Saccharomyces cerevisiae S288C: one gene and its partner. The main gene of each other region encodes a partner of the protein of the gene in region 2 in a complex. Each region holds a gene or a part of one and is shown on either strand. Other genes may lie near its edges.

Region 1 (5,291 bases), on a different chromosome or scaffold from region 2:
CACTAAGGAAGTTGAGGTGGAATACTTGCTAAGAAGGTTGGAAGAGTAAGCATGAAGGCTATCACGGTAACAATTCCACATTGCCGAGTGATTACTACGCATATATAAACACACACACTCACCATATATATGTACGCATAGTAGCATCTATTGAATATAAGAAGATAGAGTTTCAAGTTATACATTATATTGTACTATTTTCTTAAACGATGGCTCATAAATTCTATAGGAATTATCAACCCAATAACCTCATCGCTAATTCAAAAGTAGCAAAAGTGGCACCATTGGCGGGAGCAGCTCTTAGCATGGTAGGACCAAACCCTTTGAAAAAAGCGCCTATCCCTCCATTGGCATATAAAGTCTTGGCTACACTGGAAATAGAATTACCAAATTTAGGCTTTTGTAAATTATCCGTTTGCATGACAGACTTGATGACATCTAATGGATATACCATCAACCATAAGGCAGTGCCAGACAATGCTCCAAAAATACAAAGTTTCCATGCAGGAATGTCCTTTCTCTCTAGTCCACGTCTTTTGTTCATTTGGTTAGCAATCAACGCTTCATACACTAAGAAATATGTGCCACATCCATGACCTTCTCTCAATATTGTAGGTGTTAAACCACGTAGCAAGGCCTTGTTATGTCTTAATTTTTTGATGCATTCCAAAGGACCCTTGAATTCTGCGTTGGTGCCTGAGCCAGTCTGTGTTTGCAAGCGAATCCTGACATGCTCAATTGGGGACGCCAAGAATGAGTTTACTATACCGCCTGTGACACCACATGCGTAATACTGTGGCAATGACAAAGTCGATGACATATCAGCATTGCGATGATGAAAAAATCTCTTCATAGCTTCATTAACACCAAATTGTAATGAAACACATGCACCAACACCAATTAATGGCGTCAGAGTTCCTTTGTAAAACCCGCGAGGCCCTTCATTGGCAAGCAGCTTTCTGACGACTTCCATGGCTGTTGTTGGGGTGCTCGATGTTTGTAACCTAACTTTTGTCGTATCAAAGGGCTGGCCCACTAGCACTTGCGCAATACCACCCGCTGTACCTGCAAGCAAATCTTTCACGACTCGAGCATTATCATGCTGTGGATGTTCTTCCAAATCATCGATTAGTTGAGGAGATGGAAATTCTTCAGACATACTTCTTCGTGATGCGAATTTGATTGACGAGAAACCTAAACAAGAGAGCTGCGTTGGAGTATAGATGATAGTTGTTATTAGCTTATTGACATTGATTGATGCTATAGCATGGCTACATCATCGCTGACAATTTGCGCTCGAGTTTTCTTAGGGCGCCGCTTATCTTCGGCCTATCAGTAAATGTAAGAATGAGTCAATCAAAGTAATAACACTTTTTACTTCCTGTAAAAAACTACATAAGAAATTTATTTACATTATTCTATCAAGTCTTTTTGACCATAGTTCACTGCTATAACAGACACTGTCAGCTCAGTTATCGTCATATTCTCCACCGCGGCTGGTATCTCAACATTCAATTCCGCCATCTCCTTCGGGAGTGTTATTTTATTCTCATGTGCTTCAACTGGCTTCTTTTGAATCAGTTCAAGGCATTTCTTTCCAAGATCTCTCAAGATGCTTGTATATTCTGCCGTGACTCTTTCGGGTGTATGTACCAGTATGTAGAATAGCCAATCTTGCAGCCGACGATAATGCCTTCCTTTCTTGTGTATTTCTTTTATCCATGTATTCGACATATACTTGATCAGAACCCAAAGTTGCTTAGAGGTAATCTTTTCATGAAAAGTAGTATGCTGCGGTTCATTGTTTATAAGGTATTGGAACCACTGGTTGTATCCAACTAGTTCATGTTTATCTCCTTCAGTGATTACTTTTTTTACATCCTCAACACTGTCAATCTTGGTTTTTTCCAGCCGTACCAAAATATTCTTCGCCCATTCCTCATCAATCTGAAGATTTTCTTCCTTCTCTTCTGCCTTCTCAGGAAAGGAATGCTGATTTAGGACACTTATAATTTTTTCAACTGTAGTACATTTGCTGGGCATATCTTCGAGATAATTCTTTAAGAAAAGCAATAAAAGATCCAGTGTTTCGTCCTCATAACCGGTAAACTCGTAGGCATTAGTCAACACCGTCGCCTTCACAGAGTTAAACCACCTTACCCATATTTCTACATTCCTTTGAAGCCTAATCAAGGATGGCGAGATGGCGTGCCTTTTAAGGGCCCCCTCATCCTCATCATCGTACATGCTTGATTTGTGACGCGTCCTCTTTTGCAGATTCATATGATTCTTAATCGATATGGCGTTGGTTCTTAGTGCTTCTTGCCTAACACTTTTAAGATATTCAATGACATCAGGATTCACTGAAGAATCAGATAGTGCAAATGCACGAGATTGACCAAAGATGGCATCAGGCGCCTGGCTTTCTCCTCTTTTCATTGTTTATCACCTAATGTTTCTGTTATGATGGATGTTGGCAATGTTATTGTATGATACATTATCCAAAGCGAACTAATAAATCTACCGAAGCAACAACAGCGATGCACCCAGACAGTACATAGATAGTTATATTATCAAATTCGATATGATTGAAGTCAAAACAGTTCAAAGATGACACAACGTCTTAAGCTAATCACATCAAAAGCTTTTTTTTTTCTGTGGAATGTCCAATATACATGTGCTTAAAGCTAATTTTTTTTTATGTATTATTACGATGCATTGTGACGAAGGTTACCTGCTTGAAACGGATAATGTTCATTCCTTTCGTTCATGGTTTCGTCACCTTCTTTTTGGCTTTCAACCTTGGAACAACTGGTTTCCTCTTCAACTTGGCAATTACGTGCTCATCAAATTGAGAATCACAAGCAGGACATTTATTTCCGGGCGGTATGATTGATAAGACACATAGGCAAACTGAACAGATGAATCCAACGGCAACAACTCTCCCTGTTAAATAGCATGATGTCCTAAAATCTACAGATCCATGGTTTGGCTTAACAATTATAGGTCTTAACGACGGATCAATAAACATTGCAGTTGCTAAATATTGAATTAGCCCTTCTGTAGATTCAACATGTAAATAAACGCCATTTGTGGCATCCGTCGTTTGCTGTAAAAACGTGCTTTCCTTAGAACCACCAATCTTTACGACATCAATGGGACATTTCATTTTTGTTGCGGAAAAAATACAGTTCATTATAGGGATGTATTGGAAAATTTCATCTTTACTACTGCCACTCCCGCACGTAAGAACAAGTAGCCTTGATTTTAATGAGGTAGTTACTGACTCTTTTGATATTCTGTTTACATAAGTCAGCCCAGCTGACATGGCACCTGCTAGCGTGCTCCTTTGACTATTTTGTTCGATTTGTTTCTTTTCTAACTCAAATAGTTTATATATTTCTTCCACTAGCGTCTCATCAACGTTTCTAAAACGTCTATACATATCTGAGTTAATAATCTTAAGATCACTACGGGTTTTATTTTCAGATTCAGAGGCTTTTAGAGCAGATGTGCTCTCTGGGTATAAATATTTGATTCCCTGAGAGTATGCAGCAATGACTGCTACTTTGTTGGCGCTATTGAACGCTAAGTGAGCATTGAGAAATACTATCAATGCCTCTAAAACCTTTATTATACTTCCTTTCTCATTTCCTTCCTCATCAAAAGTTGTCCATAACTTTGGTGCAATTTCTATAATAACGGTAAGCAAAGATGGTGATTCTTCAGTAACCTGTTTTCTTGATCTAGCATGCTTAAACGTTGGATCAGATATTGCATCCATTTCTGATTGCTTCGCTTCAGTATATTTTATTGGATCGTGTATATTTCTACTCAAGTGTTGATTGATGTTGTAATGTTCCTTCAGGTATCTTTGAATTTCAACAGAACAAGACGAGCTGCGCGCTGAAAATAAAATAAAAGTGCAAGTGAAAAATATTGTAAAAATAAGGTAATTAAAAATATAGTTATTCGCTTATTATTGATCATTTTCATTCATTTATTTATCAAATTAATTTTACACAAACTAAAAATGTCATTTTTCGTTTGCAGTATGGACAGCATTCAATTTGCTTTTAAGTTTTCCAATCTTGGTGCGGGCTCCTTCTTTCGACTGCTCTTTTTCGAGGTTACTTAGTTTCTCCAAAGCTTCAGTGTACCTCTTATTGGAAGGTTTTATGGAACCCTTAGTTGAGCTAGTGCTTTGTCTCTTCAATTGACGATGCATTTCCTCGCTAAACTGCAGCCTCAATATGGTTTTCAAATCTTCGACAGAACAATGCGGTAATTCATTGTCTTTTATATATTCAAATAGTTCAGCTTCACTGGAGCCGCATAAAGAGTAAAAATTCATTGTGACGTTCATATTAATTTTTGATGGTTCAGAAGAAAGATTTCTATAGGCATGTTGTAAGACATTTACATTTCTCAACATTTTCTTTATCCCGTTATGGTTCAAAACTTTTATGGATTTGGCACCCTTAATCAAGGCGTAGTTGTTGACTATATCAAGACCAATAAATATGGAGTTTTTTTCCTTTTCTGGTAACTGTTGTTTCAATTTGCTTTCAGTCCTTCTTAATTCGGAAATTAGAGAAGCTATATTTTGATCTAATTCAATACTACCCACATCCATATTCCAAATTTTGGTGTTTTGAAAAAAAGACCCGATGTCGTATATACACAAGGCCCTAATGTTGAACCTCAGTATAGTGATTAGTTTGAATTTCAAGGTTTTGAATCCGTCGATAGTCTCATCAAATTTTTTGGAGGCTTTATCATCCAATAAAATTTTTAGATTTCCTAATGAATTTGGGCTGGAACTAGGGTTCGAATAGTTTAAATCCATTGATTCAGAAAATGTCCAGCTGCTCCTTAATCTATCAGCATCTAACATGGGTTCTTGGCTTACTTCATCAATATTGATAGCCTTTTTTAAGCCTGGCAGCCAGTTTAATATCCATAACACGCTTGCCGAAAACTGCAGAATTGTGTCCAATGTCAAGTTATTGAATAAATCAGATTTGCTCAAACCTTTACCCGCTTGATAGAAATGAGGTATTTCCTTAAATAACTCTATGGATTCTTCATGAAAGAGTGTCTCATCCCCATTCAGAATTTTTTGTTCTTGATCCATCAAAATACCATTCTGCAACCATGCCGTAATTATTTTCCTAGTTAAATGTCTATCAGAAGTACCAATCAAGGAATTAAATAGCCCCAAGTAGTAATTATAAAAATGATTCAAAAGATCTAGAATGCAGTACGATATTTTTTCTCTAAATGTGTTT
Region 2 (9,543 bases):
TGATACATGTTATTGATATAACAAGTAAATTTAAAATTAATATTCAATCGTCATTGGAAAACTCTGAAAACGAATTAGGAAACGTCATTGAAGAGTTACGAAATTTGGAGTTTGAAACTGAACATAACGTAACAAATTAATAAAATAAATGATATATAATACCCGAGCAATCTACAGCAAAGCTCAGCCCCACCTTTCCGCATTTTAATAACCTGCATTTTGTTCAATTCCACCCTCACTCCCCTTCTCAAGTATTCCAAACCAATTTAAGTAAGTATTGATATGTAGTTATTTTTAAAATAAATATATGTAAGTATATTTGGATGCTTTAATTAGGAATGTTCTATTTTTTTTTTATTTTTTATATTATGGAAGAAAATGGACGTGACGAATCAATAAAAGAAAGAACAGCGACGAAAGAATAAGAAGACGGTGGGAACAAAAAGGTATTATGACTGAATAGATTCAAAATAGGAAGGTGACAATGAAACCAAGCCTATTCACTTCTTCAAATTCTTATAATACATCTTTCTGATTAATGGATGATGTTCCTTCAGTTCTTTGTTTTTATTGGTACTGTATTCCATATATGCCATATCTTCACCGCCAGCAAGACCAGACAATGAACCTTCACCTCTAACGGCCTTTGATTTAAATCTTTTGTGGCCATTTGAACCTCTCCCAACAGAATTGTCAGCGTCATCACCGACCTCGATACCAGCAGCTTCTTCGTTCTTCAATAATACTTCTTGCAATAGCTCTCTACGTTCTCTGGGTGAAGCATATGCCAAATTTGGAATGTTCTCCATTCCGTGTAAATGTGTAATGACTTTGAATGCGTAACCTTGATCTACCAAAAACGCTTGTCTCTTTGTTGAGTAGTACATTTCTTGCGTATCCTTAGAAACCAGAGAATAAAAGAACGCATTGAAACCTTCGTCATTACGTCTTTTAGCTCTTAAAATTCTTCCTAATCTTTGGGCTTCTTGACGACGAGACCCATAGTGCGAAGATATTTGAATTAAACAGGTAGCTTCTGGTAAATCGATGGAAGTATCACCAACTTTTGATAGAAATATGGTATTGATTTGGTCATTGTACTGGAAATTTTGCAGAATGTTCATACGCTCTTGTTGTGGTGTGGAACCATAAATAAATGGTTTTCCCATTTTCAAAGCATATTCTTGTAAGGCGTAAACATTATCTGAAAAAACGATGATCTTATCACCCCTCCTTTCGTGATATTGAATTAAGAATTGGCATGCCTGAAACTTTGTTGGATTCATGATATACAGTAGCATTCTTTTCCTTGCAGTTTCTCTTAAATACTCTTGGTAAAATTCTGCTGTCATGGGACACCAAACCTCTGCACATTGGACATTTGCAATATGTCCTTTTTGGGATAATTCCATCCAATTTGCTTCATAAAGTTTTGGACCAATTAAAAAATTCAGATCACCAATTTTATCATCTTCTCTAACCAGCGTTGCGGTCAGTCCCAATTTGGCGTGTGCTGCGATGGTGGAGACCACCCTACGGAACATTGCGGCGGGCACCACATGAACTTCGTCAAGAATAATGAACCCCCATTCCCTACCGGTCAAGAAATCCATAACTTTTTGTGAATCATGAGACCTGTTTCTTGTGTTTGCCACCATTGAATAAGTGGAAACAACCAAACCGGATTCTGTCTGGAACATTTCCTTATTATCAGAGGTGAAAACAGCACAATTTTCAGGTTGTAAGGTACACCATTGTAAAAATTGCTGCCTCCATTGCATGACGGAGACTGATGAAGTACATAAAACAATTACGGATTTTTTTATAGTACATGCTGCGGTAATACCGACCAAAGTTTTACCTGCGCCACATGGCAAAACAATAATCCCTGAACGAGCACGCCCATTACCAAACATTTTACTCAGCGATTTTTCTTGATAGGGTCTGATTTGAGTGGAAGGTTTCAAATCAATATCTAAATCCGGGTTTCTATGGTCGTTTCTAAAGTCGTATTCTTCCAACACGGGATAATCGATTTCTTGACATCTTTTCTTTACGACTTCAACAGACTCATTGGCAATTTCAAAGGAGTGAACGGCATCAATATCATCATCTTCTTCTTCCCGCTCATTATCACCACCTATAACTGCACTAAACACGGCTTCCACATCGTTCGGATTAACATTAGTAGCGGGTTTTCCAGCGGTTTGCTGAAGTTGTTGCTGTAGTACATCCTCTGGTGGCTGTACTTGATGATCGCTATCTATTCTTAGGGGCCCGATGACGGAATCATTCAGCAACATTTGCAGAATATCTGCTTGTGTAGTCTCCACGAAATATCTATTATGCTTAATAACTAGTTTCACTTTACCGTATGAAATGGTAGCCCCTTTAATGAAGTTGATTATCGATTCAGCAACGGGTACTTTGGATAATCTATCCAGAACTGAAATGATATCATCCGTCTCCAACCCTACAGAAACAGCTGCATACAAAGAGTATGCTGTGATCTTGTATTCATGAATATGGGAGGGTCTACTTATAGGCTCTGCAATGGTGACCAGAAAGTCCTGAGCCTGTTCTGCTAATGGAGAGAAACTCTCCAGAATGATCCTACCGTCACTTGGCGAGATCCAAAGGGGCCTGGAAGCATGGTCTGGTCTTAACCGCAAATAACTAAAGTCATGGCTTCTGAACATTCCAGAGACGGAATCTGGAACGAAATCTGCTGGTATATCGCTATTAGTGTCCTGCAAAAGCGCTTTATCCTTAGCGTCCATTTGATTCATAGAGGAATCCGCCGCTGTATGCCTGCTACTCTTGGTCTTTTTCCGAGGCTTCTTCAACCCTGTTACCATGGCGCCGGTATCCCTTTCTCCACGTCCTTCTGACGTTTCCCTGTTATCATCATAGTTCTCATCGATCTCTGCATCAGTAGCTGGTGAATCCTCATCTGATGAGAAAAAGGACTCACCCATATCTGGAAAGATTTTCCCCTTGCTCTTAGGTTGGTAGCCTTCAACGTCCGTCATGATTTATCTTCCACTGATTCCAACGTCAGTAGATGCTACTTTTACTAAATAATGTAGATATCATTACTATTATCTATCCTTACTAAGGACCTTTTTCCTTATACTTCTTAGAAGAAAAACCTCGTTTCTAACGATCTGAAATTTTTTTCTCTTCGCGGTGGCGAGTTTAAAAGACAAGAGCAGAGCAATAAAAAAGAGGATGAAAGGTGGCCATTAAATAGGCAAGAAGAGTCAGTCGTACAAAGCTCAAAAGATTCAGGATGAGTGTACAGATATTTGGAGACCAGGTTACAGAAGAAAGAGCGGAAAACGCCCGTTTGTCGGCGTTTGTCGGTGCCATTGCCGTGGGTGATTTGGTGAAAAGCACATTAGGCCCAAAAGGGATGGATAAATTATTGCAAAGTGCGTCCAGTAACACTTGCATGGTAACAAACGATGGTGCTACGATTCTGAAGTCAATTCCGCTGGATAATCCCGCAGCCAAAGTGTTGGTGAACATCAGTAAGGTGCAGGATGACGAAGTTGGAGATGGTACCACTAGTGTTACTGTTTTGAGCGCAGAGTTGCTTAGAGAAGCAGAGAAGTTGATTGATCAATCCAAAATCCACCCTCAAACTATTATTGAAGGTTACCGACTAGCTTCAGCAGCCGCATTGGATGCGTTAACGAAAGCGGCTGTTGACAACTCTCATGATAAGACCATGTTCCGTGAAGATCTGATCCATATTGCCAAGACTACTTTATCTTCCAAAATTTTGTCTCAGGATAAGGATCACTTCGCAGAATTAGCAACTAATGCTATTTTGAGATTGAAGGGCTCCACTAACTTAGAACATATTCAGATCATTAAGATTCTTGGTGGAAAGCTATCAGATTCGTTCCTTGACGAAGGTTTCATTCTTGCCAAAAAATTTGGTAACAACCAACCCAAGAGAATTGAAAATGCTAAGATTCTAATCGCCAATACAACTTTGGATACAGACAAGGTCAAAATATTCGGCACCAAATTCAAAGTCGATTCTACTGCTAAATTGGCACAACTAGAAAAGGCAGAACGTGAAAAGATGAAGAATAAAATTGCCAAGATTTCCAAGTTTGGTATCAACACTTTCATCAATAGACAACTAATTTATGACTATCCAGAGCAATTATTTACAGATTTGGGCATAAACTCAATTGAGCATGCTGATTTTGAAGGTGTAGAAAGGCTCGCCCTGGTTACAGGCGGTGAGGTGGTGTCTACATTTGACGAGCCAAGTAAATGCAAACTGGGAGAATGTGACGTGATCGAGGAAATTATGCTTGGTGAACAGCCATTCTTGAAGTTTAGTGGTTGCAAAGCTGGTGAAGCTTGTACCATCGTCCTAAGAGGTGCTACCGACCAAACGCTTGATGAAGCTGAGAGATCCCTGCATGACGCATTGTCCGTGTTGTCACAGACCACAAAGGAAACAAGAACTGTTCTTGGCGGCGGTTGCGCCGAGATGGTCATGTCAAAAGCTGTGGACACCGAAGCTCAAAACATCGACGGAAAGAAGTCCCTTGCCGTGGAGGCTTTTGCCCGTGCTCTGAGACAACTGCCAACCATTTTGGCAGATAATGCTGGTTTTGACAGCAGCGAACTTGTGTCCAAACTAAGATCCTCCATATACAACGGTATCTCCACCTCAGGTTTAGATCTCAACAACGGAACCATTGCCGACATGAGACAGTTAGGTATCGTCGAGAGTTACAAGCTAAAACGAGCAGTAGTCAGCTCTGCATCTGAAGCCGCTGAAGTTCTACTAAGGGTGGATAACATCATCCGTGCAAGACCAAGAACCGCCAATAGACAACATATGTAACATATTTAGGATATACCTCGAAAATAATAAACCGCCACACTGTCATTATTATAATTAGAAACAGAACGCAAAAATTATCCACTATATAATTCAAAGACGCGAAAAAAAAAGAACAACGCGTCATAGAACTTTTGGCAATTCGCGTCACAAATAAATTTTGGCAACTTATGTTTCCTCTTCGAGCAGTACTCGAGCCCTGTCTCAAGAATGTAATAATACCCATCGTAGGTATGGTTAAAGATAGCATCTCCACAACCTCAAAGCTCCTTGCCGAGAGTCGCCCTCCTTTGTCGAGTAATTTTCACTTTTCATATGAGAACTTATTTTCTTATTCTTTACTCTCACATCCTGTAGTGATTGACACTGCAACAGCCACCATCACTAGAAGAACAGAACAATTACTTAATAGAAAAATTATATCTTCCTCGAAACGATTTCCTGCTTCCAACATCTACGTATATCAAGAAGCATTCACTTACCATGACACAGCTTCAGATTTCATTATTGCTGACAGCTACTATATCACTACTCCATCTAGTAGTGGCCACGCCCTATGAGGCATATCCTATCGGAAAACAATACCCCCCAGTGGCAAGAGTCAATGAATCGTTTACATTTCAAATTTCCAATGATACCTATAAATCGTCTGTAGACAAGACAGCTCAAATAACATACAATTGCTTCGACTTACCGAGCTGGCTTTCGTTTGACTCTAGTTCTAGAACGTTCTCAGGTGAACCTTCTTCTGACTTACTATCTGATGCGAACACCACGTTGTATTTCAATGTAATACTCGAGGGTACGGACTCTGCCGACAGCACGTCTTTGAACAATACATACCAATTTGTTGTTACAAACCGTCCATCCATCTCGCTATCGTCAGATTTCAATCTATTGGCGTTGTTAAAAAACTATGGTTATACTAACGGCAAAAACGCTCTGAAACTAGATCCTAATGAAGTCTTCAACGTGACTTTTGACCGTTCAATGTTCACTAACGAAGAATCCATTGTGTCGTATTACGGACGTTCTCAGTTGTATAATGCGCCGTTACCCAATTGGCTGTTCTTCGATTCTGGCGAGTTGAAGTTTACTGGGACGGCACCGGTGATAAACTCGGCGATTGCTCCAGAAACAAGCTACAGTTTTGTCATCATCGCTACAGACATTGAAGGATTTTCTGCCGTTGAGGTAGAATTCGAATTAGTCATCGGGGCTCACCAGTTAACTACCTCTATTCAAAATAGTTTGATAATCAACGTTACTGACACAGGTAACGTTTCATATGACTTACCTCTAAACTATGTTTATCTCGATGACGATCCTATTTCTTCTGATAAATTGGGTTCTATAAACTTATTGGATGCTCCAGACTGGGTGGCATTAGATAATGCTACCATTTCCGGGTCTGTCCCAGATGAATTACTCGGTAAGAACTCCAATCCTGCCAATTTTTCTGTGTCCATTTATGATACTTATGGTGATGTGATTTATTTCAACTTCGAAGTTGTCTCCACAACGGATTTGTTTGCCATTAGTTCTCTTCCCAATATTAACGCTACAAGGGGTGAATGGTTCTCCTACTATTTTTTGCCTTCTCAGTTTACAGACTACGTGAATACAAACGTTTCATTAGAGTTTACTAATTCAAGCCAAGACCATGACTGGGTGAAATTCCAATCATCTAATTTAACATTAGCTGGAGAAGTGCCCAAGAATTTCGACAAGCTTTCATTAGGTTTGAAAGCGAACCAAGGTTCACAATCTCAAGAGCTATATTTTAACATCATTGGCATGGATTCAAAGATAACTCACTCAAACCACAGTGCGAATGCAACGTCCACAAGAAGTTCTCACCACTCCACCTCAACAAGTTCTTACACATCTTCTACTTACACTGCAAAAATTTCTTCTACCTCCGCTGCTGCTACTTCTTCTGCTCCAGCAGCGCTGCCAGCAGCCAATAAAACTTCATCTCACAATAAAAAAGCAGTAGCAATTGCGTGCGGTGTTGCTATCCCATTAGGCGTTATCCTAGTAGCTCTCATTTGCTTCCTAATATTCTGGAGACGCAGAAGGGAAAATCCAGACGATGAAAACTTACCGCATGCTATTAGTGGACCTGATTTGAATAATCCTGCAAATAAACCAAATCAAGAAAACGCTACACCTTTGAACAACCCCTTTGATGATGATGCTTCCTCGTACGATGATACTTCAATAGCAAGAAGATTGGCTGCTTTGAACACTTTGAAATTGGATAACCACTCTGCCACTGAATCTGATATTTCCAGCGTGGATGAAAAGAGAGATTCTCTATCAGGTATGAATACATACAATGATCAGTTCCAATCCCAAAGTAAAGAAGAATTATTAGCAAAACCCCCAGTACAGCCTCCAGAGAGCCCGTTCTTTGACCCACAGAATAGGTCTTCTTCTGTGTATATGGATAGTGAACCAGCAGTAAATAAATCCTGGCGATATACTGGCAACCTGTCACCAGTCTCTGATATTGTCAGAGACAGTTACGGATCACAAAAAACTGTTGATACAGAAAAACTTTTCGATTTAGAAGCACCAGAGAAGGAAAAACGTACGTCAAGGGATGTCACTATGTCTTCACTGGACCCTTGGAACAGCAATATTAGCCCTTCTCCCGTAAGAAAATCAGTAACACCATCACCATATAACGTAACGAAGCATCGTAACCGCCACTTACAAAATATTCAAGACTCTCAAAGCGGTAAAAACGGAATCACTCCCACAACAATGTCAACTTCATCTTCTGACGATTTTGTTCCGGTTAAAGATGGTGAAAATTTTTGCTGGGTCCATAGCATGGAACCAGACAGAAGACCAAGTAAGAAAAGGTTAGTAGATTTTTCAAATAAGAGTAATGTCAATGTTGGTCAAGTTAAGGACATTCACGGACGCATCCCAGAAATGCTGTGATTATACGCAACGATATTTTGCTTAATTTTATTTTCCTGTTTTATTTTTTATTAGTGGTTTACAGATACCCTATATTTTATTTAGTTTTTATACTTAGAGACATTTAATTTTAATTCCATTCTTCAAATTTCATTTTTGCACTTAAAACAAAGATCCAAAAATGCTCTCGCCCTCTTCATATTGAGAATACACTCCATTCAAAATTTTGTCGTCACCGCTGATTAATTTTTCACTAAACTGATGAATAATCAAAGGCCCCACGTCAGAACCGACTAAAGAAGTGAGTTTTATTTTAGGAGGTTGAAAACCATTATTGTCTGGTAAATTTTCATCTTCTTGACATTTAACCCAGTTTGAATCCCTTTCAATTTCTGCTTTTTCCTCCAAACTATCGACCCTCCTGTTTCTGTCCAACTTATGTCCTAGTTCCAATTCGATCGCATTAATAACTGCTTCAAATGTTATTGTGTCATCGTTGACTTTAGGTAATTTCTCCAAATGCATAATCAAACTATTTAAGGAAGATCGGAATTCGTCGAACACTTCAGTTTCCGTAATGATCTGATCGTCTTTATCCACATGTTGTAATTCACTAAAATCTAAAACGTATTTTTCAATGCATAAATCGTTCTTTTTATTAATAATGCAGATGGAAAATCTGTAAACGTGCGTTAATTTAGAAAGAACATCCAGTATAAGTTCTTCTATATAGTCAATTAAAGCAGGATGCCTATTAATGGGAACGAACTGCGGCAAGTTGAATGACTGGTAAGTAGTGTAGTCGAATGACTGAGGTGGGTATACATTTCTATAAAATAAAATCAAATTAATGTAGCATTTTAAGTATACCCTCAGCCACTTCTCTACCCATCTATTCATAAAGCTGACGCAACGATTACTATTTTTTTTTTCTTCTTGGATCTCAGTCGTCGCAAAAACGTATACCTTCTTTTTCCGACCTTTTTTTTAGCTTTCTGGAAAAGTTTATATTAGTTAAACAGGGTCTAGTCTTAGTGTGAAAGCTAGTGGTTTCGATTGACTGATATTAAGAAAGTGGAAATTAAATTAGTAGTGTAGACGTATATGCATATGTATTTCTCGCCTGTTTATGTTTCTACGTACTTTTGATTTATAGCAAGGGGAAAAGAAATACATACTATTTTTTGGTAAAGGTGAAAGCATAATGTAAAAGCTAGAATAAAATGGACGAAATAAAGAGAGGCTTAGTTCATCTTTTTTCCAAAAAGCACCCAATGATAATAACTAAAATGAAAAGGATTTGCCATCTGTCAGCAACATCAGTTGTGTGAGCAATAATAAAATCATCACCTCCGTTGCCTTTAGCGCGTTTGTCGTTTGTATCTTCCGTAATTTTAGTCTTATCAATGGGAATCATAAATTTTCCAATGAATTAGCAATTTCGTCCAATTCTTTTTGAGCTTCTTCATATTTGCTTTGGAATTCTTCGCACTTCTTTTCCCATTCATCTCTTTCTTCTTCCAAAGCAACGATCCTTCTACCCATTTGCTCAGAGTTCAAATCGGCCTCTTTCAGTTTATCCATTGCTTCCTTCAGTTTGGCTTCACTGTCTTCTAGCTGTTGTTCTAGATCCTGGTTTTTCTTGGTGTAGTTCTCATTATTAGATCTCAAGTTATTGGAGTCTTCAGCCAATTGCTTTGTATCAGACAATTGACTCTCTAACTTCTCCACTTCAC

Evidence for each region. The genes of interacting proteins can lie anywhere in the genome.
Region 1: SSL2 (region 2) and TFB4 share a complex: the UniProt entries of both Saccharomyces cerevisiae proteins name them as parts of the 7-subunit TFIIH core complex.

Annotation. Positions count from the first base shown.
Region 1 is NC_001148.4:669,619-674,909, reverse strand, and holds TFB4 (TFIIH/NER complex subunit TFB4), read right to left. Parts: upstream 3,785-5,291; coding exon 2,768-3,784; downstream 1-2,767. Other genes in the region: chorismate mutase ARO7, read left to right, coding at 1-49; YMC1 (organic acid transporter), read right to left, coding at 236-1,159; BRR1 (Brr1p), read right to left, coding at 1,414-2,439; exocyst subunit SEC8, read right to left, coding at 4,037-5,291. UniProt on the Saccharomyces cerevisiae protein: Component of the general transcription and DNA repair factor IIH (TFIIH) core complex, which is involved in general and transcription-coupled nucleotide excision repair (NER) of damaged DNA and, when complexed to TFIIK, in RNA transcription by RNA polymerase II.
Region 2 is NC_001141.2:80,010-89,552, forward strand, and holds SSL2 (TFIIH/NER complex ATPase/helicase subunit SSL2), read right to left. Parts: upstream 3,033-9,543; coding exon 501-3,032; downstream 1-500. Other genes in the region: kinetochore-associated Ndc80 complex subunit NDC80, read left to right, coding at 1-140; chaperonin-containing T-complex subunit CCT2, read left to right, coding at 3,293-4,876; AXL2 (Axl2p), read left to right, coding at 5,357-7,828; REV7 (Rev7p), read right to left, coding at 7,970-8,707; tropomyosin TPM2, read right to left, coding at 9,221-9,543. UniProt on the Saccharomyces cerevisiae protein: ATP-dependent DNA translocase. Component of the general transcription and DNA repair factor IIH (TFIIH) core complex. When complexed to CDK-activating kinase (CAK), involved in RNA transcription by RNA polymerase II.